Linked DNA regions of Coturnix japonica. The protein of the gene in region 1 interacts with the protein of each later gene in a biochemical or structural test. Links are inferred from orthologs where the notes say so. Each region holds a gene or a part of one and is shown in the gene's direction. Other genes may lie near its edges.

Region 1 (7,663 bases):
TCATCTCACTGGGAACACAGAGGAGACTCTTCTGGGGTCACTGAGGGTGCGTCCATGATCTTGGAGTGGTGCTGCTTTTTCCCCCTGCCCAGTTTCGAGACACAGAGGAATGGGCTGGTGTTCATCTACGACATGGCGGGCTCGCAATACACCAACTTCGAGCTGGACCTCAGCAAAAAGATCCTCAACCTGCTGAAGGTAACGACGGCAGGGATGGGATGGGGCAGGATGATGGGATGGGGGGGGATGCAGGAGGTTGGGTGCCATCCACAGCCCCTCGGGGGGAGGCTCAGGCACTGGGAGGGGATCAGCTGTCCCCACGCGCTGGATTCCTCACACAGCTGCTGGCAGCTCTTTCATGAAAACAGATGCAAATTATTTTTTAATGGTGCTGGCATTTCGTGCCTCCTCCCTTCTCCGGAAAAATAGCTCCCAGTAAATAGCAGCTGGGGCTCAAAGCCCTGCTCCCGCCCTCACCGCTGCCTCATCAAGCCCAGCCCTCTGCTGGCCACATGGAAATCGATGTGGACTGGAGCATGGACTGTGCTGGGAGCTGCTTTGCTCCAGGACCCTGCGGTTGTCATTGCTGTGGGGCCACGCTGGGTGTGGGTTAGTCCTGCAGCGTGGAGCCGAGCCGTCCCTGAGCCCTCGCTGTCCACAGGGCGCTTTCCCAGCGAGGCTGAAGAAGGTGTTCATCGTGGGAGCACCCATGTGGTTCCGCGTGCCCTACTCCATCATCAGCCTGCTGCTGAAGGAGAAGCTGCGTGAGAGGGTGAGTGTGGGGGCTGCAGGCTCCTGGGGGCTGGCAGCTTTAAAAGGGAAAGAAAACGAGCCACGTGGGAGAAGATAAACTTGGTTGCTGCTTGGAACAATATGCCCGAAGATCTCTGCTGCTTGAGCTGAGGAGAGCCCTCCTGCCGGCTGAGCTGAGTGCCCATGCCTGTCCTCTGCAGGTGCAGATGGTGAAGATGTCGGAGCTGAAGGAGCATTTGCCCCGCGAGTGCCTTCCCGAGACCCTCGGCGGCTGCCTCAAGCTGGACCCGCTCAGCTGGAACTGCCGCTTCCTACCGCAGCAGAACGGGCACCCCGACCCCTTGGATGAGCTTATCCTGGTGCCACTGGTGACCCCTCGTGACAACGGCTCGCTCCACGTGCCCGGCCCCAAGGCTCTCACCCCGCAGGAGCTGCTGGAGCACGTCAGCCGCAAGCAGAAGCGCGGTATCTATGAGGAGTATGAGGACATCCGGCGCCGGAGCCCGGCCGGGACCTTCGTCTGCTCCTTGTGAGTTGAATGGGGTGGGAGGGGCAGCGGGAAACTGGTGCACGCTGCTCCCGGGACTGCAGCCAGGTGATGGCAGCAGAGCCCCGGGCATTGCCTTGGGATGCCCTGCTGCCCTGCCCTGTCTCTGCCCCAGGGCGCCCTACAACCAGGAGAAGAACCGTTATGGGGACGTGCCCTGCTTGGACCAGACCCGCGTGAAGCTGGCCAGGCCCTATAGCCGCCCTGAGGTGAGCCCCCATTGCATTCCACCAGCCCATCCCTGACGCCCAGTATCTGGGTTCTCACTCGCTTTGCTTGCTTGGAGCTGAGCCCAGGGGTCATGCTGAAGCCATTCCTGTGGTACACTCATGCCGTGTCATTGTCCGCAGCTGACCGACTACATCAACGCCAGCTTCATGGATGGCTACAAGCAGAGGAACGCGTACATTGGGACACAAGGTAAGGGCTGTGTGTTCACACAAACATAGCATGGCCTGGGTTGAAAAGGACTGTAATGATCACCTAGTTTCAGCCCCACCGCTATGTGCAGGGTTGCCAAGCAGCAGCCCAGGCTGCCCAGAACCACATCCAGCCTGGCCTTGAATGCCTGCAGGGATGGAGCATCCACAGTCTCCTTGGGCAACCTGTTCCAGTGCATCACCACCCTCTGGGTGGTTCTCACATCCATGGATGCCCAGGGGCTGCCTGTCCTGCCCAGCCCCACTGAGTGACAGCAGGCTGTCCCTGCAGGGCCCCTGAAGAAAACCATCGAGGACTTCTGGAGGCTGGTGTGGGAGCAGAACGTCCTGGTGATTGTGATGACGACTCGGTGAGTGCCCTGGGTGGCAAAATGAAGTGGTTTTGCTATTGGATCAGCTGCTGTCACAGCCAGAGAGCAGCTGATGGGACACAGGGCACCACACGATGCTGGCAGGGAAGAACATTATCCCCGTGTCACCTTGTCTCATCCGCAGGCTGGAGGAGGGGGGCAGGAGGAAGTGCGGCCAGTACTGGCCCCTGGAGAAGGATTTCCAGATGCGCTTTGGGGCGCTGACCATCACCAACCTGGGCGTGGAGAACCTCAGCCATTACAAGAAAACCATCTTAGAGCTCCACAGTGCCGAGGTGTGTGCTAAGGTTATGTGCTAAGGTTGTGGCGGGGCTATCCCATCCCACTGACCACCCCACTCACCCTTAGGGCAAGGAGCGGCGGTTGCTCTCTCACTTCCAATACCTGAGCTGGCCGGATTACGGCGTGCCCTCATCGGCAGCAACACTCATTGACTTCTTGGGGGCTGTGAAGCAGCAGCAGCGTGTGGCTGTCAGTGCGTTGGGACCACGCTTCAAGGGGCACCCGGGGGGTCCTCCGCTTGTGGTCCACTGCAGCGCCGGCATCGGCAGGACGGGTAAGGAGTCCAGCACAGTCCAGCACAGGGGGGGTGTTGCATTGCATTGTGTTGGCTGAGCGTTGCTTGCCTTCATCCCCAGGTACTTTGTGTGCGTTGGACATCTGCCTATCGCAGCTGCAGGATGTGGGTACTCTGGACATCCAGCAGACGGTGCAGCGGATGAGGACACAGAGAGCATTCAGCATCCAGACCCCGGAGCAGTATTACTTCTGCTATAGCGCAGTGCTGGAGCACGCCCAGCGCCGCGGCCTGCTGCCTGCCGCCCACAAGGGCTCGGCCGGGCACTGACACAGCCCTGCCAGCTGGGAACTGTGCCTTAACTTCAAGCAAGCCGGGGCAGGAGGGACAAAAAGAAAAGGAGGGGGGGTGGGTTGGGATGGTTTATTTTCTTATGATTTTTATTCCTTTTTGGTCTGTTTGTTCGTTTCTCGGTGGGACCATCTAGACTGTACGCAGAACAGCCCTGAAGGATGGGGGGGGGGGGGTTGTGTTCCCAGCGCAAGCTGCTGCATCGGGAACTTTATACTGTAATAAGCTCTTGGAATGTGTATATTCTTATTTTTTTATAATCCCGGAGCGTGGGGGAGGAGCTTTTTGGGGGTGTTTTTGTTGGTTTTTTTTTTCCCCTGTGGTATTTAACATTAAGCGAGCAAACCGAAGAGCGATCTCACCTCCGAGCTGCTTTCTCGTCGCTCCTCCCCACATCAGCCCCCCGAGGGCGGTCCGGCGGTGACGAACGGCCTCGTAGGGCCAATGGGCCCCGGGGGGAGTTCCCGTTTCCATTCAGGACGCCTCGCTGCGCGCTCAGGGTATGTCACAGGGTATGTCACAGCGCTGCCCGCCCAGCGGGCCCCTCATGTGGGGTGTGATGGGATGGGAAGGCCCGGGGAGCTCTGAGGGGGGAGGAAGCGAGGCGCGCTCCCGCGCTTTTCCCGCCCGCCCAACGGTCGCCGCGGGAGCGCGCACGAGTGGGGGGGGAGCGCGGCTGTGTGTGTGTGTGTGTGTATGTGAGTGTGTATATGTGTGTGTGTATGTGTGTGTGTATATGTGTGTGTATGTGTGTGTGTGTGTGTGAGGGGAGGGGGTGGGGAGCGCCCGCTCCGCCGCCGTGCGGTCCCGCCCCCCGCGGCCATTGGCTGCTGGCTGTGTTCCCCCCCCCACGTGCTGGCTCCCGGAAGTGGTGTGGGGTCGGTGGGACAAAGGCGGCGTGGCGGTGCGTGCCGGTCCCGCGCGGTCGGTGCCGCCGCCATCACGGCCCGGTCCGCCCCGATGTAAACATCCACAAAAGGGCTCCCCGGAGAGGGGGCGTGGCTTTATACCCCCCCGCGACGTGACGGCGGAGCGGTCCGCCGCGCTGATTGGTTGCTTCCTCAGCCCGCCGCCCAATGGGAAGGCTGCGGGGGCGGGAGGGGGCGGGGCTTGCCGGCCGTACGGACATTTTTCTCGGGTCTCGCTCCCCCCTCCCCTTCCTCTCCACATCCCCTTCCTGGCGGCCGCGGCCAATGGGGGCGGGCGGAGGGGGCGGGCCGAGCGAGGCGATTGGGCCGCGCGCTGAGCGACGCGTGGCTCGACCAATCGCGAGGCGGGTCTCCCCCCTCCCTGCGGCGGGGAGGGGCGGGATTTCCCGGGGAACAGAGAAGCGGGCAGCGTTCCGCCGCGGCGGCCGAGCGGCGGTTACACACATCGGCGCCCCGAGCCTCCCCCGCGGGCCGAGCGCGGGGCTCAGCGCAGCGCCGGGACGGAGCGAGACTCCGCCGGGCACCGCCGCCTCCAGGTGAGGGGAAAGGCGGCATCGGGGGGACGCGGCGCCGTGAGGGGCTGAGGGGGGGGGAGCAGCCATCCGGCGGGGCGGGGCAGGGCAGGGCCCGGTACCGCGCTGAGCCCTGAGTGTGTGAGTGTGAGTGTGTACGTGTGTGTGTGTGTGTGTGTGTGTGTGCGGGGGGAGCCCGGCATGGCGGGAGCGGCGGGCGGGGCGAGCGGCGCTGGGCGCGCTGCGGGACGGAGCCTCCCGCGTGTGTGTGTGTGTGTGTGCGGGGGGAGCCCGGCATGGCGGGAGCGGCGGGCGGGGCGAGCGGCGCTGGGCGCGCTGCGGGACGGAGCCTCCCGCCCATCGCGCCGCCCACTACGCGGGGCCGCCTCAGCCCCGCCCCGCCCCGCCCCGCCCGGCTCAGCTCGGCCCAGCAGCGCTGCCCTCACGGCTCCTGCTTCCTGCTTTGGAGGCTCCTCTGGCGCTTCCAAGCGAGCACGAGGAGCCTGTGCTGATTCAAAGCACCTGTAGGATCCTGCTCCCACACAGCATCACAGCATGACCCGGGTCGGAAGGGACCTCGAGGATCACGTAGTTCCAACCCCACAGCACGGCGTTAGGAACAGCCCCACTCCTTTCCTCCCCACCCCCCCAGCTGAGGGGCAGCGTGAGTAAAGCTGGGGCTGAAGCAGGGAGAGCGGCCAGAGGGCACCCAGCCCTTCCTCTTACACAGGTCCCTTCCAAGCCCAACTTATGCATGGTCACTGTGTCCAATGGGGGCATAGAAACCTTCAGCACGCCCAGCGAGGTGGTACATAAATAAGAACGTGATCCCGTTGCGTTTAAGCCATGCACAGAGCGCTGCTGTGTACGGGTGCTGGAAGACATAGCTCACGCTGTGCTCATGGCCACCAGTCTGCTGTGAGCTTGTCGGAAAGGCATAACCATGACAGGAGTGAGTTGCTCACCTTCCTAGCATGTATGAGCCATACATACTGGGAAGCCATCGTGGCTGGTGAAGCCAACACAGTTCTATGGCTGCTGTTCCATGCTGCAGGGCTATGGGTGCACTCTCGGTGCTGTGCTGCTTTCTCCCAGCTCCCCTGGCTCTGCTGTCACAGAGTGGCTGCAGGTACTGCTCTCATTCTGCCTGCATGTGAGAAGGGAGACCATAGGTAAGGATGCCAAGGCTCGAGGAGAACCCACATGGCAGGGCATACCACGAGCAAGCAGCCAGGATGTCACCTCTCTGATCCTGAGCCACTCATGGGCTGCTTCCAAGCTTTGGGTCCTTTCCACCTTAAGAGCAAACCATCCTCACTCTACACAGCTCAGTCCAGGTACTAACGCTTAAAATTCAATGTGACAGCAACGTTGCTGCTAATGTGAGGATCTGTGAGTTTGGGGTGTCCTTCCAGCCTGCTCAGGCAGCAGGTGACATGCAAAAGTGTCCCTCTGCTTGGGATTTGTCCTCATCTCTGGCTCTTAGTGGCATCAGAGCTCCTCTCTAGAGGTTCATATTCACAAGGTGCCTGTAGCTGGCATTCTGCAGCCTCCTAAGGGCTTTAAAGCAGCTCCTGCAAATCTTAGATGCTTGACCGGCAGCTGTGCTGTTCCCCTGTTTCAGGAGTGTCTCGGGTTTGCATCTGCAAGGTCTGAAATCTCTCTTGTGGGGTTGGGTTTCACAACTTGTTCTTGAAAGCATCATTTGTGTGTGCAGAAGTGTTGTGGCTCCAACAGGTGTCACGCAGCAGACCTGCACTATTCACTGCTCTCCTGCAAGGGGAGAACTTACAGCCCAGGAAAAGGAAAGTGAAAAAGCTTTTATCCTCCTGTGGAGGGGTGTATTCCTGTAAGGAGATGCTCTGATTGAAGTTAAAAGATAGATTGGTGCTGGGAGGGAGGGGATGCAGGTCCATGTGGTCTCTATAGAGTGGAGCTTGCTCTGTAAAGCCATTGCTGAGCATATAGATGGATGCTCTTATTGGAGGACAGTACCTAAAGTTTGTGGCTTGCTCTCAGTCTCACCCAGACCATGCTGTATTTCGCAGTCTTTATTTTTCCCTCCCCAATTAAGCATCGCAGATGATGCAATTTGAATTGGGGCTTTCTAAATGCTTTGAGTCAAAGTCCGCATGGAGAATGCTGCCCATCATAGGGCTGTGTTCCATTGCTCTGAAAGCCATATGGTAACCATAGCACTGCTTGTGATGTCACTCTGTTCTGAGTGATTTTGTGGTCGTAGTTACCCTCGGAATACCATTCTGCAGCAGGTACAGCTTGCTACATTGCAGTCTGCCCTCCTAACAGAGCAGATCTGTGGGACACACCAGGTAAAGATCAGTGAGACCTCAAGGGATGGAAGGAATGTGCTTTGGGAGCGTTTGCCAGCACGTGTTTCCCCGTGAGATGCAGGAGCTGGGGCAGTTGCAATGCTTGGCTGTTGGCAGAGCCCAAGGCTTCAGTTCTATGTTGGTGTAGCCTTCTAGAAATGGATGCCACCAAGGCTTTGCCCAGGGCCTGGCATTGTCATGCAAAGCACTGGGATTCACTGCCAGCCTGCTCTGCTCGGTCCAGGCTCCATTAGCATACAACTAGAAGTTTGTTCAGAGCTAAAGGCTATGAGAGCAGCTCCCTGTGAGCCTGGGAGGCTGTTGGTTCGTCCAGTAGCTGAGCACAAAGACACCTGGTGCAGTTACAAAGAGCTAAGGGAATTGCTGGAGCATGCTCAGAGTATATTCCAAAGCTTTGGGGCTGGTGTTCTGGGAGGTGTAACTTGCAGAGCAGCTTTAAGCAGACTTAAAGCAGGCAGTTCTTCCCACCATGTGAAAGGAGCTGGGTGAGGAGCTGGCTGCCACGTGTATTGCTGGCAGTACCTTTGTATATTTCTCCACTAGTTTGGTCTGTTATGTTGATGATGGGTTTACACTGCCCTGTACACTTACTTTGGGGGAGCTTGTGTGTCTGTGGCTGAAGGTTTGCTTTGGAGAGGGCTTGCTGTACCAAGGCAGCAAGGCAAAGCTCCCTGTCCTCCTCCTGTGCTCTAAGGCATCTCTGATGCCTGAATCCTATCCAGCCTGGGCTGCCGAGGAGGTTCAGGATGGGCTTTGCTATCAGTGCCAGAACAAATCCTCAACTGGAAAGCAGGGCTTTATTTCTATCAAGAAAGCTGTGTGTTTGCATTACACGTTTCATGCAGAATGCTGAATCTTAGTTCTGTTTCCCTATCTTAAGATAGCAACGTAA
Region 2 (7,708 bases), on another chromosome or scaffold:
ACATGAACTATCTTGATGTGTAACACGAGACATTCCCACCTTATTGCAGCAAACCTATGGAGGCCAGTCTGAGGTCCCCAGATGATGATCTAAATGACCTCACCATACAGCAAGAAATATCCCATCTTCACCCCATTTTCACCTTTCAAAACTTATAAAAGTTCAAGCATGCACATAGGTCTTTTTGCTTTTTGAGGTGAATACTCTCTACCAAAACAGCAATCAGAAATCATCAGGCATCTGTTTTCTTAAGGCAAGACTTCACCTTGCTCACTTAAGGCTTCCTTGGGTACATTTTAAAAAATAATAAGTCTTTGTTGTTGTTAATTGCATAGAAACCTGAGCACGAAGCCACCTTCATGGAATGTGGTAGCTTTAACTCATTTTCACTGTCCATCTAACCCTAGCAGCTGGACTTTGCTGAGGACTCAGGTGCCAAAACAAAGAATCAAGAAAGCAAGCCCCTATTTTCTGCCACTTCTGCTGCAATGGCTGTAACTGCTGGCAGAGAACACAAACTGTTGCAGCATGGCTTTCTTTTGAGGTAATGGTAGGTACAGCTACAACTGTAACTGCAGCCTATGACAATGATCTGCCAGTTTAGTTGAATATCTTTAATCCTGACAAAAGAAATAAATCCAACCTGTCAGTCAGTTTACACTCAGATTAATTCATACTTTACCAACGACCAAATGGAAAAAGTTTTACATTAACAATATCTGAGGTTTTGTTGTCCCAAATGGGCAAGAGAATTGGCTACCAGTGACCCCCTAAAATAAAGACAATTATTAATTAAACATAGTTACATTTATCTAAAAGCCTAATGAACAGCTTTTGCCTGTAAGACTAATTTTACTTTCCTTCCTTATTCCCTGTATCCTTTCTTGCAAACAACAAAGCAAAACCAAACAAAAAACAACTAAAAAACAGCCAACCATAAAAAAACAAAACAAAAAAACCCCCAAAAACACAACCCACAGAAACTGGCTCGAGCTGGTTTGTAATGGTTTGAATACTGCCCTGCACAGCACAGAAGCTTCCCCTCCATTGCTTGGGGTTTGCTTTCTCTTTGCAAAAAGTGCAGGGCCTACAGACTGACTCTGGGAATAGATAAAAACAAACATGCAAAGAATCCGCCCACCAAATACCTGTTTATAGTTATGGTATGACAAAAATTAAAAGAAAGAGGGAGAATCCTTTCAGCTGCGTTAGAATCAATTCCTAAAAGCCTGAACTATGTTCTTTCAGTTCAAAGAAGCTGGACTGCTACTTATAAAGTGGGGTTTAAAATTAAGTCCCACATCACTCGTGGATCACAGTTTCAAGCAGCGATAGTGGATACTTGTATACACAGAACTGAAAGCGTTTCCATTTATTTCGTCTGCACCTCGATGCTGCCCACAAAAACAGTGACGAACTGAGTACCTTCCCTAGTCGTTTTATTGGACACTCGGCGTTGCCCGGCGTTACCACTGATTGACAATTATCTATCGGTATTTTGGCAGTCACTCTGAAAAACAATCAAGACGAAGCTAATGATCGAGCGGTGACGCCTCAGAACACACAGCAACAACAGTCATTAACACTGCATCGCTAGGTTATAACCGGATGGTTACCGCTCACATTCCACCAGCAATAAAGGTCCAAAGCAACCACAGAATAACACCCGCCGGTGCTCCGGGTCCTTAAACCCAGTCACCAACTCCAGCACGTTAAACGCAGGCGGCAGAGGGGAGAGGCACGCTTTCCTTCACTTTAAACTTGATCTCTTGCAAAGCCCGCAGTAGGACGGGCACATCACCTGCACAGCGGCAGCCTCGGAGTCAGGACCGCGCGTTCAGCCGCGCTCTGCCTGCCGGCGTGCTTATGTCTGAGCAGCCCGTGACGGCCTGTTCCGAGCGCGGCCCCGCGGCGCCGTTACATAAACAGCGGTACCTTCCGCAAACAGCGCCGGCGACGCGCCGCCTCCTGTGGGTACGTGGCCGGGCACGGATAAAGCCCCTCCGGCCCGGGGAGCGAGCAGCGTGCCGACAGCGGGGGACAAGGAGCGGCACGGCGGCGCCATTTACCCGCCCGCACCGTGCCGACACCGACCCGCCGCCGCTCCTCCCGGCGGCACGGGGCTCCGGCGGGGCTCGGCACCGCAGCTGGACAGGGGGCGACCGCCCTGAACGTTCTCGGCCGCCTCCTGACCGCGCCACGGCTGCGGCCCCGAAGTTTCGGTATCGCGTTTCCGCGAGCCTTTTTGTTTGTGTGTGTGCGTCCCTTCCCGCAGGTGTCCCGCAGCGCACACCGCCAGGTGCGGGAGGCCCCGCCGCCCTCCGCCCGGCTCCTCCCCGCTCCGCCCCGCGGCGGCGGGCCGGCCCAGGCAGGCCGCGGGGCAGCGTCGCGCTTCCAGCACCTTCTCCACCTCTCCCCACGCCGCCCGCCGGCGCCTCCTCACGGAGGTGGCCCCAGCCCCGCGCTCCGCTCCGCGCGGGCGGGCCGGGAGGCGGCGTGGCGGAGCCTCGGCGGCGGCGCGGCTGTCGCGGGCAGAGCCGGGCGCATACCGCACCTCCCCGCCCTACGGCCTCCCGGCTGAGCGACGGGCGGCGGCAGCCAATAGGGGCGCCGGCTCCGCGCTGGGGGGCGGGCAGACCCCGCCGGCGGGCCAGTGGGAACGGCGCTTCCTGAGCAGCGGCGGCGTCGGCGCGGGGAGGCGGCGGAGGGGGCCGTGGGCGGGGCCGGAGTTTGGGAAGCGGAGGGAATGGCTGTCACCGGTGAAGTCATGCTCGGCGCCTAGCCGCTCTCCGTCCCCGCTCCGCTGCTCGCCCAGAGGCAGCGGCGCGACACCCGGCGCGGCGCTCCGCCCGAGCGGAAGGTAAACGCACCTCGCCCCGCGGGGCCCCGCGCCGTCAGCTCCGTACCCGCCAGCTCCGTTCCGCCGCCCCGCGCGTTCACGGAGCGCAGCCCCGGCCGCCCCCCGCCCGGTACGCCCCGGTGTGCGCACCGCCAGCGCGGCGCGGGGAGAACAAAGTTTGGCTGCGGTGTCGGGGGAATAAGCCCCGCGCGCACCGCCAGCCGGGGAATGGGACAGAGACCGCCCGCCAGCGCCGTTCGGCCGCGGGTTTTTGGCTCCGTCCGCAGCGGGGACGGAGTCGGAGTGCGGAGCAGCGGCCGGGGCCGCCCGCCCCTTCCCCACCGCGGCTGCGTGGCTCGGGGAAGTTGTGGCGTCCTGCGGCTGAGCGCGGTGCGGGGCTGTCTCCGCAGCGCTGCTGGCAGCGGGAGGCCGCGGGCTGGGCGCCTGTCACGGCGCGGGAGGGAGGAGGGAGGGCAGGCAGGGAGGGCCGCGGCCCCGCGCGGGGCTTCCGCTGCCTCCGGTCTGCTCCCCGCGGGCACCGCGCCTGCCCGGCCCCCGCCCCGCACAGCGACATACGCACACACACACACACAGACACACACAACGTGCGCTCGCGGTTTGGCGATCGCCTTAACAAGCGAAAAGCGTTTTATTTCCGGTGTGCGCGGAAATTTATTTATTTATTTATTTTTAATTCGGTCGGACCAGCCGCCGGTACGGGACGCGGCGCCGCGCAGCGCCCTGCCGTGCCGGCCGAGCTCGGCACCTGGAAAAGTTCTGTCCTCGCCGGGGCGGCGGCGGACGATCAGGAAGCGGCCCCCTCCGCGCACGGACGCGTTGGGTGGCGGTGACATGGTGGCGGGGGCGCGGGGCGGCGGGGCTCGGGGCCGGGCTCTGCCCTGAGGCGTGCCCCCGGGGGAGCCCGCCCGCCGCCGCACCCCGCCGCGGTACGGAGCCACACGGCCCGGCCGGGCGGAGGGACGGAGCGGGGCCGCGTCTCCTTGCGCTGTGCAGCCTCTGGGCCGTGCCGAAAACTTTCCGAGAAGGCCGGAGGGGCGCGCGGGGCCCGGCGGGGTGCAGCCCGCCGCCTCGCCGAGGCCTACGTTCCTCGGCCGGGCCGGAAGCCGCTTGGCGCTGCCGAGGCGCTGCCCTGCCCCGCGCGGGCGGTGCGTAGCGGTCCCGCGGACGCCGTCCGGGAGCCCGCGAGCGGGGCCGGACCGACGGCGAAGAGCGGAGCGGAGCGGACGGGCTTCGGGTTCTGACTGCTCCCCCTCCCCCCCAAATTTGTCATGGTGGAATGGCAGTCTGTGCACAGCTGGGAAAGTTACGGTCCTTCACGCTGCAGCCGAAGTTACCGTTAAATGCTTTTTTTTTTTTTTNTTTTTTTTTTTTTTTTTTTCTCCTCCCTCTCCTTTCCAATTTGCTTTCTGCGAAGCGCGCATCGTTATTAAGTAATTAGTCTCGTTCCGTGTCGGTTGTTGTGGCCGCGCGATTCGCCTCGGCATCGGCTGTTGACGACACGCAGCCTCGCCGAACTTCGGTGAACACCGCGTTTTTTGTCTTTCCGCGAATACTTTGGGTAAGTAAATAACCGGAGAAAGGGAACGGTAAAACAGCGATCGGTTTTCATCTAATTATTTATTTATTTTTTATTTTTTTTTTACCACTGGAAGTAGTGTGCGCGCTTTCTGCAAAAAAGTGACGTAGGACCTGTGACACCGCCTTGTGCCATTTGCAATCTCTTTTGTTTTTGTTTCCAGTTTGTTCGTGTCGTTTAGCGTTACCCACAGCCTCTGTGGCCCAGGCAAACACACGTTTCGGAGCCGAGTTCCCTCAGTAGTGCACCAGTCCGAGGTGGGGCCGTCGCTGCCGTGTGAGCCGGGCATTGTTATGCAAATCGAGGCACACTTTCTCTTCGGGAGCCTAATTGCCCCCTTACTGTCTTTGACTTCTTTTCTTTTGTCCTTTTGTGATTCTGTGCGAAAAATGATGTAGGAGAGTGGTAGCGGTGAAGACCGGGTTGTGTCAGCAATAGAAGGAAAGATCGAATAATGAACGTTTTAAAATACATCCAGGGTTGGGTGTATCACACAGAATGCGTGGACGTGACAGAGGTGAGGTTAAAGCTTCATTAAATCCAGCGTTTCTCTCATGAGTTGTTATGTCTCAGCTTCAGTATTGGTGTTTCTGTGGTGTTTCATAGAACATATGCGCCAGAAGAGTGTGTTCAAAGTAGTCTCAGATCTTTTCTTTTGTTCATTTCTGAAGTGGTCTGTGAGCATTTCTTGTGAAGTTTGAAAAACGCTTTGACCAACGCCTGAGGCTTGAAGTTGACAAGAGGAAAAAGTGCTCCAGCTAACACTCATATGAAATACGTTCTTGACAAAGGTGTACATGAAATTAACATTTCTAGATATATTTTCTCAGGTTTTGTTGAAGTTAAGGTCACAATACGCGTGGTCTGCACTTCTTCCATCAGTGTTCATGGCCTGAACTATCAGTGTTGCTGTGAACTAGCAATCCTAAACTGAAAAAGACTTTTATTCTTTAAATGAATTTGGACATCTTTGCAGATTGCTTGTTAAAACACCTTTTTTTTTCCTTCTTTTTTTCTTTTTTGGCGTGCGTGTGTGTTCTTTCTGTATGGAGTGTTTCTTGGACATACATCTCTTCTGTATCAGTCTTATTTTTCAGTTGTTCAGTTGATCCTCCAGCGGGATGAGAAGAACAGTGTTACAACATAAAGACCGCTTGTCGTGAAAATGGCAGCAGAGAACAGTTTATGTCTTATTTGCAAGCCATAAAATAAGGAAGGATGATTTTGGAGAAAGAAGCAAGGCTCTTCAGACACAGCTCTGGTAGTCTGCTGGTGTAGCAGGATTAGAAGACTAAGACTGAAAATTGTTTTTATTTTTTCTAACACATTTAAAGTCTACTCTTCTTGTGGATAAACGTTTTGCTCTGAGTGTGTCCCTGCACATTACTGTGGGGTTGCAGCACCTAGGTGAATCATTTAGAGCCAGGATCTCTAGGGCAAATGCTAAGAACATTTCTTGTCATGAAAATGATGCCTTTGCCTCATCTTTGTTGATATTTTATTTTAAACAACTCATAGTAAGAAACAGCTTTCTTCCTTCTTTTCTTCCCCATCTAAATAGAGACCTGTAATTAATTCCTTTCCCTCTGCCTACCTCTAATTGTGGCTTTTGTTTTTCAGAGTCTGACACGAAGATGATGTTCACTAATCATCATTAATACTTGTAGAAAAGGTCACTGTATGGAAACTTAATCTATAATCAATCAGTGCTGTCATGAGACAGTTCGCTGTGCCCTGGATGTACAATAGAACCTACGTGTGCAGCAGACATGGGCTTGATCTTGGGCATTGACAGATTTGTTAGTGGTGACCATGGCTATGGGGTTAAAAGGCAGTTCAGTAAACTTCCAACTGTCGTGCCTGCCCTCCTTTTCTCTTGAAGGCTGTTGGCTTCTGTAGCAAATCCAATGGAAAGGGTCATGGCTGTGCTTTGGCCTCTTCATTGAAGTCTGGTGACATAGCTTAACCTAACTTCTATGAACTCTGACTTAGAATGACTTCTATGGGGCTGGTTAGTATGTTCATCCCCAGCTGGTAGGTGGTCATTTCTTGGTGCTGTTTCAGTGTTCTTGGGGAATTTAGTCTGTGAGTTTAAGTAGTTTGTTTCTTCGTGGAAAACTGAAACAGCTACACAGTGGGAATAGGAATTTCTTCAACAGGATGCAGCCAGCCTCTGGTAGATGGCTAGACAATCAGCTAAGGCAGCGTCTAGGGGTTTTTATCTGACTGAAGTATCTGGATAAGCAATTACATTGCAGTATTTCTGATTCTGTGGTTTGTAGTCCAAGCTACAAGTTACCTTCTAGAAGATTTTCAAGTTACAGTGAAGTTATGTATCTGAGTATACAAAGGCAGAGTCTCTCAGCTTTTCTGTGTTTGTCTTCTCCCATGTGAACAGAATAATTCTGGTTTATTTTAGCTGAAGATGTGACTCTTCCGCTTTACTGATTTTACACTGTTTCACGTAAACGTACTGTTTACTGATTGATTCTTTGATGAAACAACAGTAGTCAAGTGCTCATAAATGTCACTGCATAGTGTCCAGGAGTGTTGTAAAACACATAATGCTGATTTGCTTCTAAAAACTATAGGCTATTTATTTTAATTGTAACAAGCTACTGCTTTTGTGAATCATGTCTTAAACTCTGAACATCTACCTTTGATTACTGTTAGTGGGTGATGCAAATACTGTGAGCCATTAGCGGTATAATTTCTGATTTTGCTTGGTAGTATTTAAGGATAACACCAAGCTGTTATACATTGTATCTCAGCTTTGCAGTGTAAGTTTTTTAAGCCAGCTTTGAAATGTGACTTGTTTTTGGAGATGTCTGAGAAGAAGTGGACTGTAATAGTTTTTCTGTGGAGTTATGGGGAGAGTGCTTTGCAGCATCTGTGTGGCTATTGCTTGGGTCCACATTCCCCTTTAGTTGGATGTAAATGGCACAGTTTTCTTGCTTTTCACTACCTGTCCAAAGCAGGGGATCTGGTTGAAAACAACAACTGAAATTCAGTTTAGGTTGAGTCAATCACAGACAGGCAGAAGTCGAATTGAATGGTAAGGGAAACAACTAGAAGAATTATAAATACTTACTGCTCCATCTGTTCCTAGATGCAGTGTAATCATTCTGTGCCAAAGCAGTCTATAACCTCTGGATCTTTCTGGTTGTCCAGCTGGTCTTGAATTCCTAAGTAGTGCTGGTGGCTTACTGCCCGCTGTGGTTTAGTTTCAGATCCGTGCCCTTGCTCACTTCAGGTTTGTGTCAGGTTTATAG
Region 3 (6,359 bases), on another chromosome or scaffold:
GGATCAACCCAGAAATGATAATTATTGACCCAAAGCGAAGCAGCGGGGATGTCGGGAATGAGATTTGCACCGTTACTTATAGGGAGGAAAAAAAAAAGAAAAAAAGAAAAAAGAAAGAAAGAGCGAAGAGGGCGGTGGGAAAAGGAGAAATAGTCGCGATAGCGCTGCCCGCCCTCGGCTCTGTCGCAATAGTTTCGTTATAGGGGAGAAAGAAGGGAGCGGGGCCGCAGACAATTGCCGTGCGCGGCCGCGGCTGCTCCGAGCCGGGGCCCCTTCCTCCTTCCTGCTGAGCTCATGGGGGTGCGGGGCTTTGTGTGAGCGTTTCTCCCCTCCATTGGGCAGCGCCTGGAGCTTGGTTTCCATGTTGAAAATTAATAACAATTATTCTAATACGAATAAAGTAAAAAATCCCCCCTAATGGACCGAAATGTCCTCAAAATTGAGCGGGGAGAACCCTCGGCCTCCTTCCAGTTCCCTGCCCCTGTGGGTACGGTGTGTGTGTGTGGATGGGGGGGGTTCCAGGGTCATTGGTACAGGGGTACAAGGGAAGGGGGTTGGAGGTGTTTCTGCCGTGACGTCACGCCACCGCTGCGTGACATCACGCCGCAGAAGCGGGGGGACCCCCCTGTCGGGTTCGGGCCGCCCCGAGCGCTGCTCTCCCCGCAGGACGATGGACAGGCCGCCCGCCCCGCCGCCCCCCAGCAGTGACCCCCGCGATGCCCGCCGCCACGACCCCGAAGCGGAGCCCACGAGCGAGCCCGACAGCAGCCGAGGGGGCATGGAGCCTCCGGCCGAGCCCCAGCTGCTGCTCAACGGGGCGGCCAAAGAGGCGGGCCGACCCTCCCCCGGGCCCCCCGCCGCCGCCGTGCCCGTCATCGAGTTGGTTCGCCGGGGGGGCTCCTTGGACATAAAAAGCCGAGAGGCGGCGGGGGAGGCGATGCAGAGAGCGCCGGGAGCCGAGCCGTGCCGCGCCGCCGAAGCCGCCTGCGAAGCCCGAATGGTGCAGCTGAGTCCCCCCGCGCTGCCGCTGCAGCCCCCCGGCAGGGCGATGCTCTACAACCTGGGGCAACCGCTGGGCACCATCGGCAGGTCCGTGCCTCCCCCCGGCCCCCACCGCGTCCCCGGGATTGAGGGGGAAGGAGAAGAGGGAAGGGGGTTGTTTGGGGAAGGGGGTTGTTTGGGGGAAAGGGGTTTGGGGGAGGGCTGAGTCATCGCCAAAAAAAAAAAAAAAAAAAACAAAAAAAAAAAAAAGGAAAAGAAAGGAAACTTTGCAAAGGAAGAAAGGGGGGAAGAAGAAAAAAGAGCAGAAGAACGGAACGAAAAATTGAAAAATTGTCGTTCCTAGAGCTGGGGGGGAGAGGGAAAGCCTGGCAGAAATACCACGGTCAGAGCCGAGATGGGGCGTTTCGCTGTGGTCCTGTAGTGGTGTATGGGCATAAGGGGCTGAGCTGTGCGGGGCTCCCGGAGCTCCCCTGCTCAGCCCCAGGGACGGTAAATGGCCCCACGGGCGCAACGTGTATCCCACGCCGGGCTCCTCTTACATCCTTCGTGGGCTGCGGGCTCCGTGAGCATCTACCGAGCGGTCGGGGCCGCCTCACGCCGCTCTGCCTCTGTTTGCAGCGGGTTCTTCGGCGAGCCGGACTCCTTCTCCATGTACGGCAGCAACCGGGTGAAAAGGAGACCGTCGCCCTACGAGATGGAGATCACCGACGGTGAGTACGGGGAAAAGCCCGATGTGTGAAGGGGGAATACGGTGGGATGCAGCGGGTGCCCCTTATTGGGGAAGGCACAACACACACAGCGTGGCTGGTGCCTTTGGGCACAGTGTGAGGAGCTGGTTGGGGGCAGCCGGCCCCACGGGTCCCTCTGAGATGAATAGAGGAAGGCACTGGGGCTGTGTTGAGGTGTGGGGTCCAATGGTGAGGATGGGTTGGTGGTTTGGACTGGATGGTTTTGCAGTCATTCCCAACCTCAATGATTCTATGGCTATAGAAATAGACACTCTGTATTCTGCAAAGTGGGACAATATCTGATTATATCCACATTTTTGGCCCCAGGTGCATACAGGTAGGGCCCAATCTTGCAGATCCCACCTCGTGTCAGTCTGCAGAATTAGGGTCAGTTTTGGGGGGGGGAATACAAGTACTGGATGGACATGAAGACTCAGCACATGTCACCACTGCTGGGCTGTCCCTGTGCTCCTGGGGACTCAGATAGTGAAGGCACACTGCGGGGGTATGCAGGGAACAGGGAGAGCACACAGTGATGGTGCCACCCTGTACAAAACACACACACACGTGGATATGGAGGTGTGGGAAAATATCTGAGAGGATATTCTGTCATTTTGGAAGCTCTTCTTCTTGCTGTTTTTTCCCCTTCAGGTCTGTAATTAGGATAACAATTCAACCAGCATTGATCAACCCATTGATTGGAACAAAATCCAGGCATAACTTTGCAGCCAACTGCTTGGCTTCATTTGGGGGCTTCTTTATGAGAAACGAAGCCCTTCCATTATAATACAGCTAAAGGGTATTTTAAATCTTTCCACTGCTTGACACACTACACCCCGAACCCATTCTTTCTTCAATTCAGTTGCTGGCACTGATGTAAGAATCAATCATTGCAGTGGCTTCAGAATTTGTTCTATTCTTGATCTTGTTTGGGGAGGCAAATGGGCAGGTCGATGTTTGATTTCAGCATTTTATGAGGTGATGACTCTTAGTAGGCAGCTTCCTGTGAGTGAGATGTGTTGGAAGCCTGTGAAGATTGAGATCTTTGGATAATTAACATGATCCACATATTTTTTTTTTCCTTATTCCCTTATGAGTGCTACAAGATGTTAAGCTGCACCTCCTAAATCCAGGGCTGTGTGCTCTGTTTTGTCCAGAAAGAGCATTTACGAGCAGGAATTGTCTTGCTGTAGGAGATGGCAGCATGTTGTCACTGCACTCAGCAGAGCCAGGCAGCTCTGTTGGCTGAGGTCACTTTGATCCCCACAAGAGGAGAGATGGGGTGTGATAGGAATCCCACAGACCATCCTTTAGGGTGCAACTCATCAGTGTGTTAAGTGAAAAACTTTGCTTCTGAATTTGTGGTGATTTTCACTGCCTGTGATGTTCCCTATTCTTTCCAGCACAGTCATTCTCCCATAGTTTCTTGTGGTTGCTGTGTCCTTCCACTGCCAGTTAGTCCTGGATGTGAGGATGGAGGTGGCTGACGGCATGCCTCCTTCCACACACTGCTTTCTGTGGACACAAGGACCTGCAGTCTTGACTTTACTTCTGGGCTGACTTCTGCTGTGGGTCTCTCCCGGCATTAAGGCAATGTCACCTCAAGCCATCAGGAGCTGCCTTGATGAGCTGAAAGGAGAACTGATAGAGGGAGAACGGATGATTGTATTCCTGAGCACAGGAACACCTCTTGTGTTACATGCCCTACAGGAATATGGCTGCTTTGTCTTCCTCCCACGGTCACCCTTCGGGCAAGGACTTCTACTGTGTGTTACACCAGGGCGAGTCCTGCTGCCCCATCACATGAAGCACCCAGAGAACTGGTGATCTCTGCCAGCTTCTGATCCCAGTGACATCAGGGCAGAAGGCAGATATTGGGATCTCAGAGCTGTTAAAGCCTCGGCTTATGCCTATTTCTTCTGTCCCAGTGATGTGACTTTTGGGATAGAAAAATAAAGCTATCTGGTGAGCTCCTTGGTTAGCTTCCTGCTAGTTCACTCCTGGTCCTGTGCCTTGATGATGGGACTAAAATAAATTGAGTAATTTGAGAAATGAGCAAATTATTAAATGACCAGGGAGGTGGTGGAGTTTCAAGAACCACGGAGACGAGGGACCGAGGGAAACGGTTAAGGACAGTTTTGGTGGTAGCTGGATGGTTGGACTGGGTGATCTCAGAGGTCTTTTCCGATCCTAATGATCCTGTGATGCTGTGATTCTATGACCCGGTGGGCACTGCTAATAACTGTGTGCCATTGCAATTGCAGGTCCCCACACGAAGGTGGTCCGCCGTATTTTCACCAACAGCCGGGAGAGGTGGAGGCAACAGAACGTGAATGGAGCCTTCGCAGAGCTCCGCAAACTCATCCCCACGCATCCACCTGACAAAAAGCTGAGCAAGAATGAGATTTTGCGCCTGGCGATGAAATACATCAACTTCCTGGCCAAGCTGCTCAACGACCAGGAGGAGGAAGGAAACCAAAGGGGCAAAGTGAACAAAGACTCGGGGATAGTCCAGGAAGACCTCCTGCAGGACATGCTGTCTCCGAACTCCAGCTGTGGAAGCTCTTTGGATGGAGCAGCGAGTCCAGACAGCTTCACGGAGGAGCACGACACGCTCGACTCCAAGCACGCACGGAACCTGCACCATGCCATCCTCCCCGTTGAAGGCAGCGCACAGCGGTGATGACCCCAAATCGCTCCCCGAGCGCTCAGAGGGTTGCGAGACCCAAGCGGGTGGGATTTGGGACCTTTGGCTCCCCGTCTGCTCGGCCCATGTTGGCACGTTGGCCAACCAAATGGGACGGACGCTCGGTGTTTAGGTACGGGATCGTACGAAGAAGAAAAGCATTGAAGTCGTCTTCGTTGTACATACTGACTCTGAGGATGGGAGGGGAACGTGGCCAGCACCCCTCCAGCTTTCTGAGGGTTTTCTTGGGGGCTGCCTGAGGGTCGCTTCTCAAGTAGTCACGTGGCCGAGACATGAGGAATGAAGCATAGGGCTGTGGAGCACAAGCAACTGGTCCGAGCCATGCTCCCATTGACCAAGACCTTCTGACTGTATCTTTTTAATGAGGTGAAAATGCCCTCGGCAAAAGAACTATTAAAAGGATTAAGACTTTCTTTTTTTTCTCTCTCTTTCTCTCTCTTTTTTTTTTTTTATTTTTTCCAACCGTTTTTGTCCCCTTTCCTTTCCCTTCTTCCTAACGTTGGATTGTTTGGGGTGTTGTATTTATGACGTGAGGTTCCTTCTGTTCAATGCCGTCATGCAGTATCCACTGAACATAAAGGTACATAGGGTGTTCTGTGCTCCCCGCCGCCCCCTGAGCTCCCAACCCTGTGCTGTAACACAGTGGGTGAAGTCCTACAGTGGTGTCCTTAAGTTTCCCCTGAGGTTTCTCATAGGGCTGAGCATCTCTCAAGGAACATGAAACTCAGAGGTGGTTCAGGAGAGAAAAGTTGACTAGCAATGCCACCCCTTGAACCAGGGGCTTTATTTTAATGGAAAAAAAAAGAAAGCGAAAGAAATTAACAATGCATCAACAGTTTGTGTGTACATAGGGTTATAAAAGGGTTTCGGTGGTATGCTTTGAGTTTTTTGTTGTGTGAAAGTGGTGGTGATAGTGCATCCCTGCAAGTGCCCACAAGCTGGATGCAATTAGACAGTAGGAGGCCCTTGATTGGCAGGGGCTGGTAGGAGCTGCAGCCTTGCTGTATCTCCTGGCATGGGGTGAGTGCTAAGAGCACTGATGGGATCACCCCGAGAGCTTAGGGGCTGCAGTGCTGGTTTGGGGCCAAGCGTCAGTGCTATGTGGTTCCTCTGTTTCAAACCATGTGCGGAGGCTCCAAGGCAAAGAAATCACTGCATTACACCACAATCCAAACATCCTTCGGAAGGGAGAAAGCCTTAGAGCTTGGTTTTAGGGCCTCTTGTAAATAATAGGCTGAGACTTTTCTCAGCATGGAGCAGGTGCATTAGGTGCCCAAGCCAGGGCTTCGAGCCCAGCCCCAGATTCTCAGAAACCAACAGTATCCCCCTGTGTGTAGTGGGGAGAAGGAGGACAATGAACCCTCCTGATTCCAGGGATAGCTTAAGTGAAGGGGTTACCATGGGGCAATGCTGAACACGAGGGGCTGCTGTAGACACCGGTGTCGCTGGGTATGGGCAGGGGGTAGTGACCTGGGGGGAGAGGGGGTCTCATTCACTTTTTTGTCAAATTATTGCAAAAAAATAACCCCACCAACACTCTGAGATTCCTCATCCCCCAGAATTCTGGTTGTTTTATTATTATTATTATTATTTCTCCCTTTTTGGTAGCTGAACAGTTGGCCAATGGTACAACCTCCTCAGTCCCCACATGCACATCTGCCCATAGCACGCTGCCGTCCTCCCGGGGTATGTACAGTTGTCCTTTAATCGTGATTGAATGGTACATTTCCCCCACCCACCTTCCCTCCTGCCTGCTTCACGTCTCCGTGTGTGGAACATCGCCCTGGTTCTGTTTCGAGCAGCGTTGCCTCTCAGCGTCGTACAGTGTGATTGAATCCTATCTCCTCCATTATTTTCTCCCCCAGCCCCATCCCTCTCTTTGCTGCCCTCCCTTTGGCTTTCTGCTTTTTCTTTGACCCTTT
Region 4 (7,637 bases), on another chromosome or scaffold:
TGATTCTGATCCGTTCATACCGGCCGTTTCAGGTCCCCCCCCCCCCGGCGGCACCACTCCAGCTCGTCCTCCCCGCTGAGACTGAAGGAGAGACGGGACGAGGAGAAGAAGGACAGTAAAGACACCAAAGGCAAAGAGCGGCAGATCACGGGTGAGCCAACATCCCCAACAACCCTTATATTAACTCATGTTGGGGTTATCGGTGCTGTGAGCAGCATTGAGGGGCTCTTTGGGACTTATTGAAGTGCTTTAGAAGTGTAAAACCACCGGTTGTGCTGGGTGATGGTGGGTGAATCCCCCTGTTTCGTTGCCTTTACAGAGGAGGATTTGCAAGGCAAGACGGAGGAGGAAATCGAGATGATGAAGATGATGGGCTTCGCTTCTTTCGACACAACAAAAGTGAGTTTGCTGGGCTCAGAGCTGCCTTTCCTCACCCTGCAGGGCTGCATTACAGCACAGTGTTGCTTGTACCCCAAAACAACTCCCCCCGTTGCATTGCACCCATTTGATGTGGGGTTTCTCCTTCACATCCCGGAGCTGTGGCTCTGTTTGCTTTACGTGGGCAGCTCTTGGTGCTACACACAGCTCTGCTCTTTCTCCTCTTTCAAGGGCAAGAAAGTGGACGGTGCTGCAAACGCATACGCCATCAACGTGTCCCAGAAGAGGAAATACAGGTTTGTGCTGCTGTGATTGCACTGAATCCACCTGTTTTCATGTGATAAAACAGCACTGCTGGGAAGGGGGGGAGATAAAACAGCATCTCAGAGTCCAGGTTGTCTATGGGCACAGTGAGGAGCTGATCTGTTCCTTCTCCTCTCCCCCACAGACAGTACATGAACAGAAAAGGAGGATTCAACAGACCATTGGATTTCATCGCTTGACGCTGCACGGAGCAGCTCTGCCTTGTTCACACACCTCAAAGGTGGGACAGGACTCCGTCACTCCATCCTCAAAGGGATTTTGGGGTCATTTAGAGCAAATCCGGGTGCTCTCGCTCTGCCCTGCACCGAGGGAGGGTGAACTGAAGCTCATCGATCTCGGCTCCGTTTGCTCCTCGCCAGGATTTCCTGCTGGTTCTATTGGTTGTTGTGTTATTTTTTTTACCAGCTCAGCATCGTCTGATTCAAACCCATCGATATTTTTCCCTTTCCTTTCTGGTTCATCCCCAATCTCCCTTTATTATAACATCACTCAGGAATAAAGTCAGCGAGAAAACGCTGCTGGAAAACCCACCCAACAGCTGATCCCCAACTCAACCTTTGGGATTTGAGCTGAACAAACTCACTTTGCTGCTTCTTTGTGTGTTCAATGGGTCACCCCAGGGTTGGGCAGGGATTCCAACCCAAACCTTGGGCAGGGATTCCCCCCATACAGGGATTCCCATCTCAGCTCTATGTTCCCTCAACCCCAGGAGGTGGCAGCACAGCCCTACAGCCAACATTGCTTTCAACCCCATCTCAATCAGCACATAAACCTCCCAGCGATGCTTTAAGATGAGGACATGCGGATCCAGCCCGGAGCTGAGCTTTTTGCTATGAGTTTTATGGGGTTTTGTGCTATTTTAGGGCAGGTTTGACTTAGTAAATCCAGCCCTTATTGGTGCCGGTGACTCACCCGGGCTGTCAGTGCCATACGGGGCTGTGTTGGTGCCCTGTCATCACTGCGACACGCCTGGAGCCCTGCGATAAGGCCCCGCTGCCAGACAGGGAATTCCCAACCCCCCCATCCCATCATTTCCTTTATCTCTGTGCTAATTAAACCTCATTAAACCAACCTGCTCAAAATGAGGAGAAAAAAGCCCATTTGTTTGGCCACACTTAGATGTGATGGGTGCTTTCATGAAGCCCCCAGCCCAATCCCCCCCCATTCACCCCCAAACCCCCCCAGCCGTGTTCTGCTGTTCAATGGGGTTCTATTTAGGGCCGCTGCATTGGGGGCGTGTTCCCCTTTTGACCCCCCCCCCCCATTAACACACACCCAGGTTTATCTGGTTTCCGTGCTGGGGGGGTGAGTCACCCCAGGGCAGGGCTGGGTTTCGGGGTGTGGGGAGGAAACAGCCTCCCCCCCCCCAAAAAAAAAAACCCAATTCCATCCCATTGGGCTCTATGGGGTGTGGGGGGGGTCCCTGCTGTGGGGTGAAGGGCGGCACCTTTGGGTGCTGGGGGAGGACTATAGGGGTCCCAGTTAATAGGGGTGGCTGCTTATAGGGGCTGCCTGTTTCTTATAGGGGCTGCCTGTTTCCTATAGGGGCTGCCTGTTCCTTATAGGGGCTGCCAGTTTCCTATAGGGGCTGCCTGTTCCTTATAGGGGCTGCCTGTTTCCTATAGGGGCTGCCTGTTACTTATAGGGGCTGCCTGTTACCTATAGGGGCTGCTTGTTCCTTATAGGGGCTGCCTGTTACCTATAGGGGCTGCCTGTTACCTATAGGGGATGCCTGTTACTTATAGGGGCTGCCTGTTCCTTATAGTGGCTGCCTGTTTCCTATAGGGGCTGCCTGTTACTTATAGGGGCTGCCTGTTTCTTATAGGGGCTGCCTGTTACTTATAGGGGCTGCCTGTTACCTATAGGGGCTGCCTGTTTCCTATAGGGGGCTCCTGGTTCCTATGGGGTCTCCATCCTTTATGGGGTCCCCCCATACCGGGGTCCGGGGGGTCCCGGCCCTACAGCCCCACGTTGACACTTGGCCACGCCCCCTCGCCCTCTTCTCGCCCTCCCATTGGCTGCGGGAGGCAGGAAGTGAGTCAGCCCCGTTGGCGGCTCGTCCAATCACAGCGCGCCTTCCCGGAGGGCCCGTCTGATCGGCGACAGCGGGGAGGGGGCGGGGCTTCCATCGGGGCCGAGCCAATGGCGGAAAGGCGTGTCTCACAGCCAACCAATGGCGAAAAGAGACGGTGGGGCGGCATCCAATGAGAGGCGGCGGTGGGCGGAGTCGGCGGAGCGGCCGGGCGAGGAGCTCAACCCGGCCCGGCCCGGCCCGGCCCCGCAGCAGCGGAGATGGCGGCGGGCGGAACCGACGGGGCCGGTGTCGGGTCCGGTATCGGGTCCGGTATCGGGTCCGGTGTCGGGTCCGGTATCGGGTCCGGTATCGGGTCCGGTATCGGGTCCGGTGTCGGGTCCGGTATCGGGTCCGGTATCGGGTCCGGTATCGGGTCCGGTGTCGGGTCCGGTATCGGGTCCGGTATCGGGTCCGGTATCGGGTCCAGTATCGAGCTGCTCCTGGAGGCTGCCGAGTACCTGGAGCGTCGGGAGCGAGGTACCGGTATTACACCGTGTGTCCCCCCCCCCCGGTTCGTCCCGGTGCCGCCCGGCGCTGCCCGCTCCCGTTGTGTCCCCACAGAGGCCGAACACGGCTACGCCTCCACGATGCCCGGACATGGAGCAGCGCGAAGGGACAGAACGAGGAGCAGGAACGGCCGGAGGAACGGAGGGGGCGGAAGGTAACGGGAGGGGGGAGGGGGGCAATGGGGGCACATAGAGACCCATAGAGACCCATAGAAACCCATAGAGAACCATTGGGACCCATAGAGACCCATAGAGAACCATTGGGACCCATAGAAACCCTATAGAGAACCATTGAGACCCATAGAAACCAGATAGAGACTCCATATAGACACATAGGAACACATAGAGACCCATAGGGACCCATAGAGACCCATAAGGACCCATAGAAACCCATAGGGACCCATAGAGACCCATAGGGACCCATAGAGACCCATAGGGACCCATAGGGACCCATAGAGACCCATAGGGACCCATAGGGACCCATAGGGACCCATAGAAACCCATAGGGACCCATAGAGACCCATTGGGACCCATAGAGACCCATAGGGACACATAGGGACCCATAGAGACCCATAGGGATCCATAGGGACCCATAGAGACCCATAGAGACCCATAGGGACCCATAGGGACCCATAGAGACCCATAGGGACCCATAGAGACCCATAAGGACCCATAGAGACCCATAGGGACCCATAGAGACCCATAAGGACCCACAGAGACCCATAGAGACCCATAGGGACCCATAGAGACCCATAGGGACCCATAGAGACCCATAGGGACCCATAGAGACCCCATAGGGACCCATAGAGACCCATAGGGACCCATAGGGACCCATAGAGACCCATAGGGACCCATAGAGACCCATAGGGACCCATAGAGACCCATAGGGACCCATAGGGACCCATAGAGACCCATAGAGACCCATAGAGACACATAGGGACACATAGAGACCCATAGGGACCCATAGGGACCCATAGAGACCCATAGGGACCCATAGAGACCCATAGGGACCCATAGAGACTCATAGGGACCTATTGGGACCAATAGGGACCCAAAGAGAGACATAGAGACCCCATAGAAACCCATGGAGACCCCATAGGGATCCATAGGGACACCGCTGTCAGCCGGGGGTCAGCAGCTGTCACAGGGCTCCGGGCTGGGGGGACGTGGAAGCAGAGGGCACTGCCTGCACCAGGAGATTGGGATCTATTGGGGCCTGTTGAAATCCCATTGCCATGGGGGGGCTGTGGGCTGTGGGGACCTTTGGGGACGCCGCTGTCATGGGATGCTCAGTCTATGAGGATTCCATGTCACAGTGCACACAGCTGAAGGTGCAGTCACACAACGTGGCAGGCAGAGATGCTGACACTGAGCTCTTGATTTCGGCCTTTGCTTTGGATGTTGCCTTGGTGTGGTTCTTGTGCCCAGGTTCCATTTGGGGGCTCTTAAAGTGGCAGATGAGATTCAGATCCAAACCCCCACAATGGGGAGGAGAGATTGTGCCCCTAAATGTGACCCATGGCCAATTCCTGCCGCCCCTCCCGGCTCCTTCCTGCTGTTTGCTCAGGGAGGAGCAGCTCTGCCATCTCAGGGCACGGCACCACGTCCTGCTCCGGATCACGTCGCATGGGGACGGGTGACCTTTGCCAGCTGTGACAGCAGGACGTCCCCGTCCCGTCAGCGAGCGCCCAGAGGTTCCTTAATGGGGAGATAAGGAGCTTCGTTCCTCACTTTAACATTGCTCACAAGGAATGGGAGCAGCAGGACTCGTGCTTTGGGGCTGCTGGTTGTACCTTAGAGATGCGCTGGAGTTGTGCTCTGCTCAGTTTGGGGTTGGTGTTGGGATGAGGAGAGCTTCCCCTTCCTGTGTGGTGCTGCTCAGCGCTGGTTGGGCCCCTTTGCTTCCTCCTCTCCTTTACAACCACTCACCCGGGGGGGTGTGTTGGGTGCTGCTGCCATCCTGTGCTGTTGGTGCTGCTTTGTGCTCCCCATAACCAGCAGCGAGCCGTCCCCATCCCAACCACCTCAGTGGGGTCTCCCTGACACTGCCATCTCTCTGGGTATCTCTCCCTATCCATCCCTATGCCACCACATTTATCATCCTGGGTGCAGTGACCCCTCTGCAGACCCCCCCCCTGCTGTCTGTCGTCCTCCTGGAGCCGAGCATTTCACAAAGTCCTCTTTCTTTTTCAGGTCGACTCACAATGAGATGGAAAAGAACAGGTGAGAATGGGCCGGGACCCACACGGGATCTCTTCTCATTGCACATCAGGGCTGCCCCTCTCCTATTCCAGAAGGAGCCGTGCCATGCTGTGCCCCTGGTACTGCTTAGTGCCCACCTGGGGCAGGCAGCTGGAATTTCCCTGTGGCATTTTCACCCCCTAGAAAGGGGTTTAAATCACACACCTCCCCCTGCTGAGCTGCTGGGGTGCAGCCCAGCCTGATGGAAAACAACCTGAGTGAGGGCTCAGCTCAGTTTGGGATTGACCCCAGCAGCACAAGCGCGTGTTTTGTTGGCAGTGTCATGCAGGAGGCACTCAGTGCAGGCAAATGCCTGTTTATTCGCATGCGGAACGAGATAGGCAGGTCGTTGCAACATCCCCATCTGCCCTGAGTGTGTCAGTGGGGTACGGCACAGGAGGTGTTGCAATGGGAACGGAACCGGAATATACTGAGCATGGGGCATCCTGCGCTGCAGGAGGGAGCGTGGAGTGCTGCACGTTGCCTGCTCCTGACCCAGAGGAGGCTCGAGGGCCGTGCTGTGTTTGCAGCCCTGTGCTGGATGTAGCTGGAGCAGTTTTATTTTGCTGTTCCTGCGCTGATATAGAGGTCAAGATGCTGCGTGGTGTTGGGGCACACTGAGCATCTGATGGTTTTCTTGCAGGCGTGCCCACCTGCGGCTGTGTTTGGAGAAGCTGAAGGTGCTGGTGCCGCTCGGCCCCGAATCCAGCAAGCACACCACGCTGAGTTTACTCATGAAAGCCAAATTGCACATCAAGGTGAGTCTGGCTGCACCAGAAGTTTCTGAGGGAGGGCTCAGACAAAGCTTTTCCAAAGCCCTCAGCCTCGCTCCTGCTCTGTTGGCACCATGTGGCTTCCTGGTGTGTTGACTGCTTTATGGTTTGCCCTTTACACTGTGACTCTCACTGAGCACATTTGGTTTTATGAAGCAGCAGATAACCATGGCGGCACGGCGGGACTCAGCCTGCGTGCCACTGGTGCCTTATCAAGGCCTGGAAATAGAGAAAAGGGATAGAGAAAAGCACTGCATAGAAACCATTCAGAGGAGGGAGCATTGTTAGTGTGCCAGCTCTCTGCTATGGGGTTGTATCAGCAGCAGTCTGGCTCTGAAGGGGTCTGGGAGATCTGGGCAGGCTGATGTGGTGGGTGGTGAGCAGCCCATGGCATGGGTTGGGGCTGGAGGGGCTTGGAGGTGTGAGGCCATGACTCTGATCTTTAAGGTTCCTTCCGACCCAACCATTCCATCCTTTTCTCCCCCTGCAGAAGCTGGAGGACTACGACAGGAGAGCCCTCCACCAGATTGAGCAGCTGCAGCGTGAGCAGCGGCACCTGAAGCGGCAGCTGGAGAAGTTGGGCAGCGAGAGGATCCGCACCGACAGTGTTGGCTCCACTGTGTCCTCGGAGCGCTCCGACTCGGACAGAGGTGAGACCCACACATCTGTGGGTGACGTTTGGAGGCCTCACTGAGCTCCTTGTGATGCCGTTTGCTTTCTGCTTGCAGAAGAGATCGACGTGGATGTGGAGAGCACCGACTCCCTGCCCGCAGACCTGGACTGGAGCAGCAGCAGCCCCAGCGACTCGGATGAGCGCGGCAGCCTGCAGAGCGTGTGCAGCGACGAGGGCTACGCCAGCTCGGGTGTGCGGAGGGCGAAGGCGCAGAGCTCTCACAAGCTGTGCCCTGCTCTCTAAGGATCAGACCCCTCAGCTCTCCCACCCACCGCTCTTTCCTGGTTGGTAGCGAACCAGACCGTCCCGCAGTTCCCTTGTGCCGCTGACACCAAGTCCGCTTTGCCCCGGTCCCAAGCAGGGCTGTGGGTGCTGAGTTTCTCCCACTCGCTTCTCACCCCGTTGGGAAGCTCATCTCAGCGACACTGTACATTCCAGCCCCGTTTTGGTGCGCCTGGGAATATCGCAGCGGTAACAGCAATGCTGGATGAGCTCAGCTTTCCTTTGCCTTGCTGTTACTGCTCCCTATTCCAGATCTTTGTAGTGTTTGCCCACTAACAATCAGCACCAGGGCCCTAATATGCATTGTGTGGGTGAGACCCAGCCTTGTTGGTAGCTCGGAGCAGGTAGAAAGCAGAGGGAGGTCTGCAACGGAGCGTCAGTCGGTG

What was found.
Region 2: the proteins of SIN3A (region 1) and SMARCA2 form a complex in vitro, tested with the Homo sapiens proteins (2 studies listed by BioGRID). The link is inferred for Coturnix japonica from reciprocal best matches to the Homo sapiens genes SIN3A and SMARCA2.
Region 3: the proteins of SIN3A (region 1) and TAL1 form a complex in vitro, tested with the Homo sapiens proteins (2 studies listed by BioGRID). The link is inferred for Coturnix japonica from reciprocal best matches to the Homo sapiens genes SIN3A and TAL1.
Region 4: the proteins of SIN3A (region 1) and MXD1 form a complex in vitro, tested with the Homo sapiens proteins (4 studies listed by BioGRID, with this or other methods). The link is inferred for Coturnix japonica from reciprocal best matches to the Homo sapiens genes SIN3A and MXD1.

Annotation. Positions count from the first base shown.
Region 1 is NC_029525.1:1,982,021-1,989,683, reverse strand, and holds the start of SIN3A (paired amphipathic helix protein Sin3a), read left to right. Parts: upstream 1-3,424; 5' UTR 3,425-3,481; coding exon 3,482-3,491; intron 3,492-4,280; exon of another isoform or gene 4,281-4,444; intron 4,445-6,656; exon of another isoform or gene 6,657-6,750; intron 6,751-7,663. Other genes in the region: PTPN9 (tyrosine-protein phosphatase non-receptor type 9), read left to right, coding at 93-198, 662-772, 954-1,282, 1,416-1,509, 1,651-1,720, 2,012-2,090, 2,236-2,386, 2,460-2,667 and 1 more. UniProt on the Homo sapiens protein: Acts as a transcriptional repressor. Corepressor for REST. Interacts with MXI1 to repress MYC responsive genes and antagonize MYC oncogenic activities. Also interacts with MXD1-MAX heterodimers to repress transcription by tethering SIN3A to DNA.
Region 2 is NC_029547.1:23,945,068-23,952,775, forward strand, and holds the start of SMARCA2 (probable global transcription activator SNF2L2), read left to right. Parts: upstream 1-2,707; 5' UTR 2,708-2,860; intron 2,861-4,274; 5' UTR 4,275-4,418; intron 4,419-4,599; exon of another isoform or gene 4,600-4,693; intron 4,694-4,834; exon of another isoform or gene 4,835-4,953; intron 4,954-7,708. UniProt on the Homo sapiens protein: ATPase involved in transcriptional activation and repression of select genes by chromatin remodeling (alteration of DNA-nucleosome topology).
Region 3 is NC_029523.1:19,448,674-19,455,032, reverse strand, and holds part of TAL1 (T-cell acute lymphocytic leukemia protein 1), read left to right. Parts: intron 1-666; coding exon 667-1,089; intron 1,090-1,620; coding exon 1,621-1,712; intron 1,713-3,994; coding exon 3,995-4,413; 3' UTR 4,414-6,359. UniProt on the Homo sapiens protein: Implicated in the genesis of hemopoietic malignancies. It may play an important role in hemopoietic differentiation. Serves as a positive regulator of erythroid differentiation.
Region 4 is NC_029537.1:820,293-827,929, reverse strand, and holds the start of MXD1 (max dimerization protein 1), read left to right. Parts: upstream 1-2,925; 5' UTR 2,926-2,994; coding exon 2,995-3,253; intron 3,254-3,337; coding exon 3,338-3,437; intron 3,438-5,475; coding exon 5,476-5,505; intron 5,506-6,166; coding exon 6,167-6,281; intron 6,282-6,786; coding exon 6,787-6,946; intron 6,947-7,024; coding exon 7,025-7,212; 3' UTR 7,213-7,637. Other genes in the region: SNRNP27 (U4/U6.U5 small nuclear ribonucleoprotein 27 kDa protein), read left to right, coding at 36-151, 320-399, 610-674, 827-881. UniProt on the Homo sapiens protein: Component of a transcriptional repressor complex together with MAX. In complex with MAX binds to the core DNA sequence 5'-CAC[GA]TG-3'. Antagonizes MYC transcriptional activity by competing with MYC for MAX binding.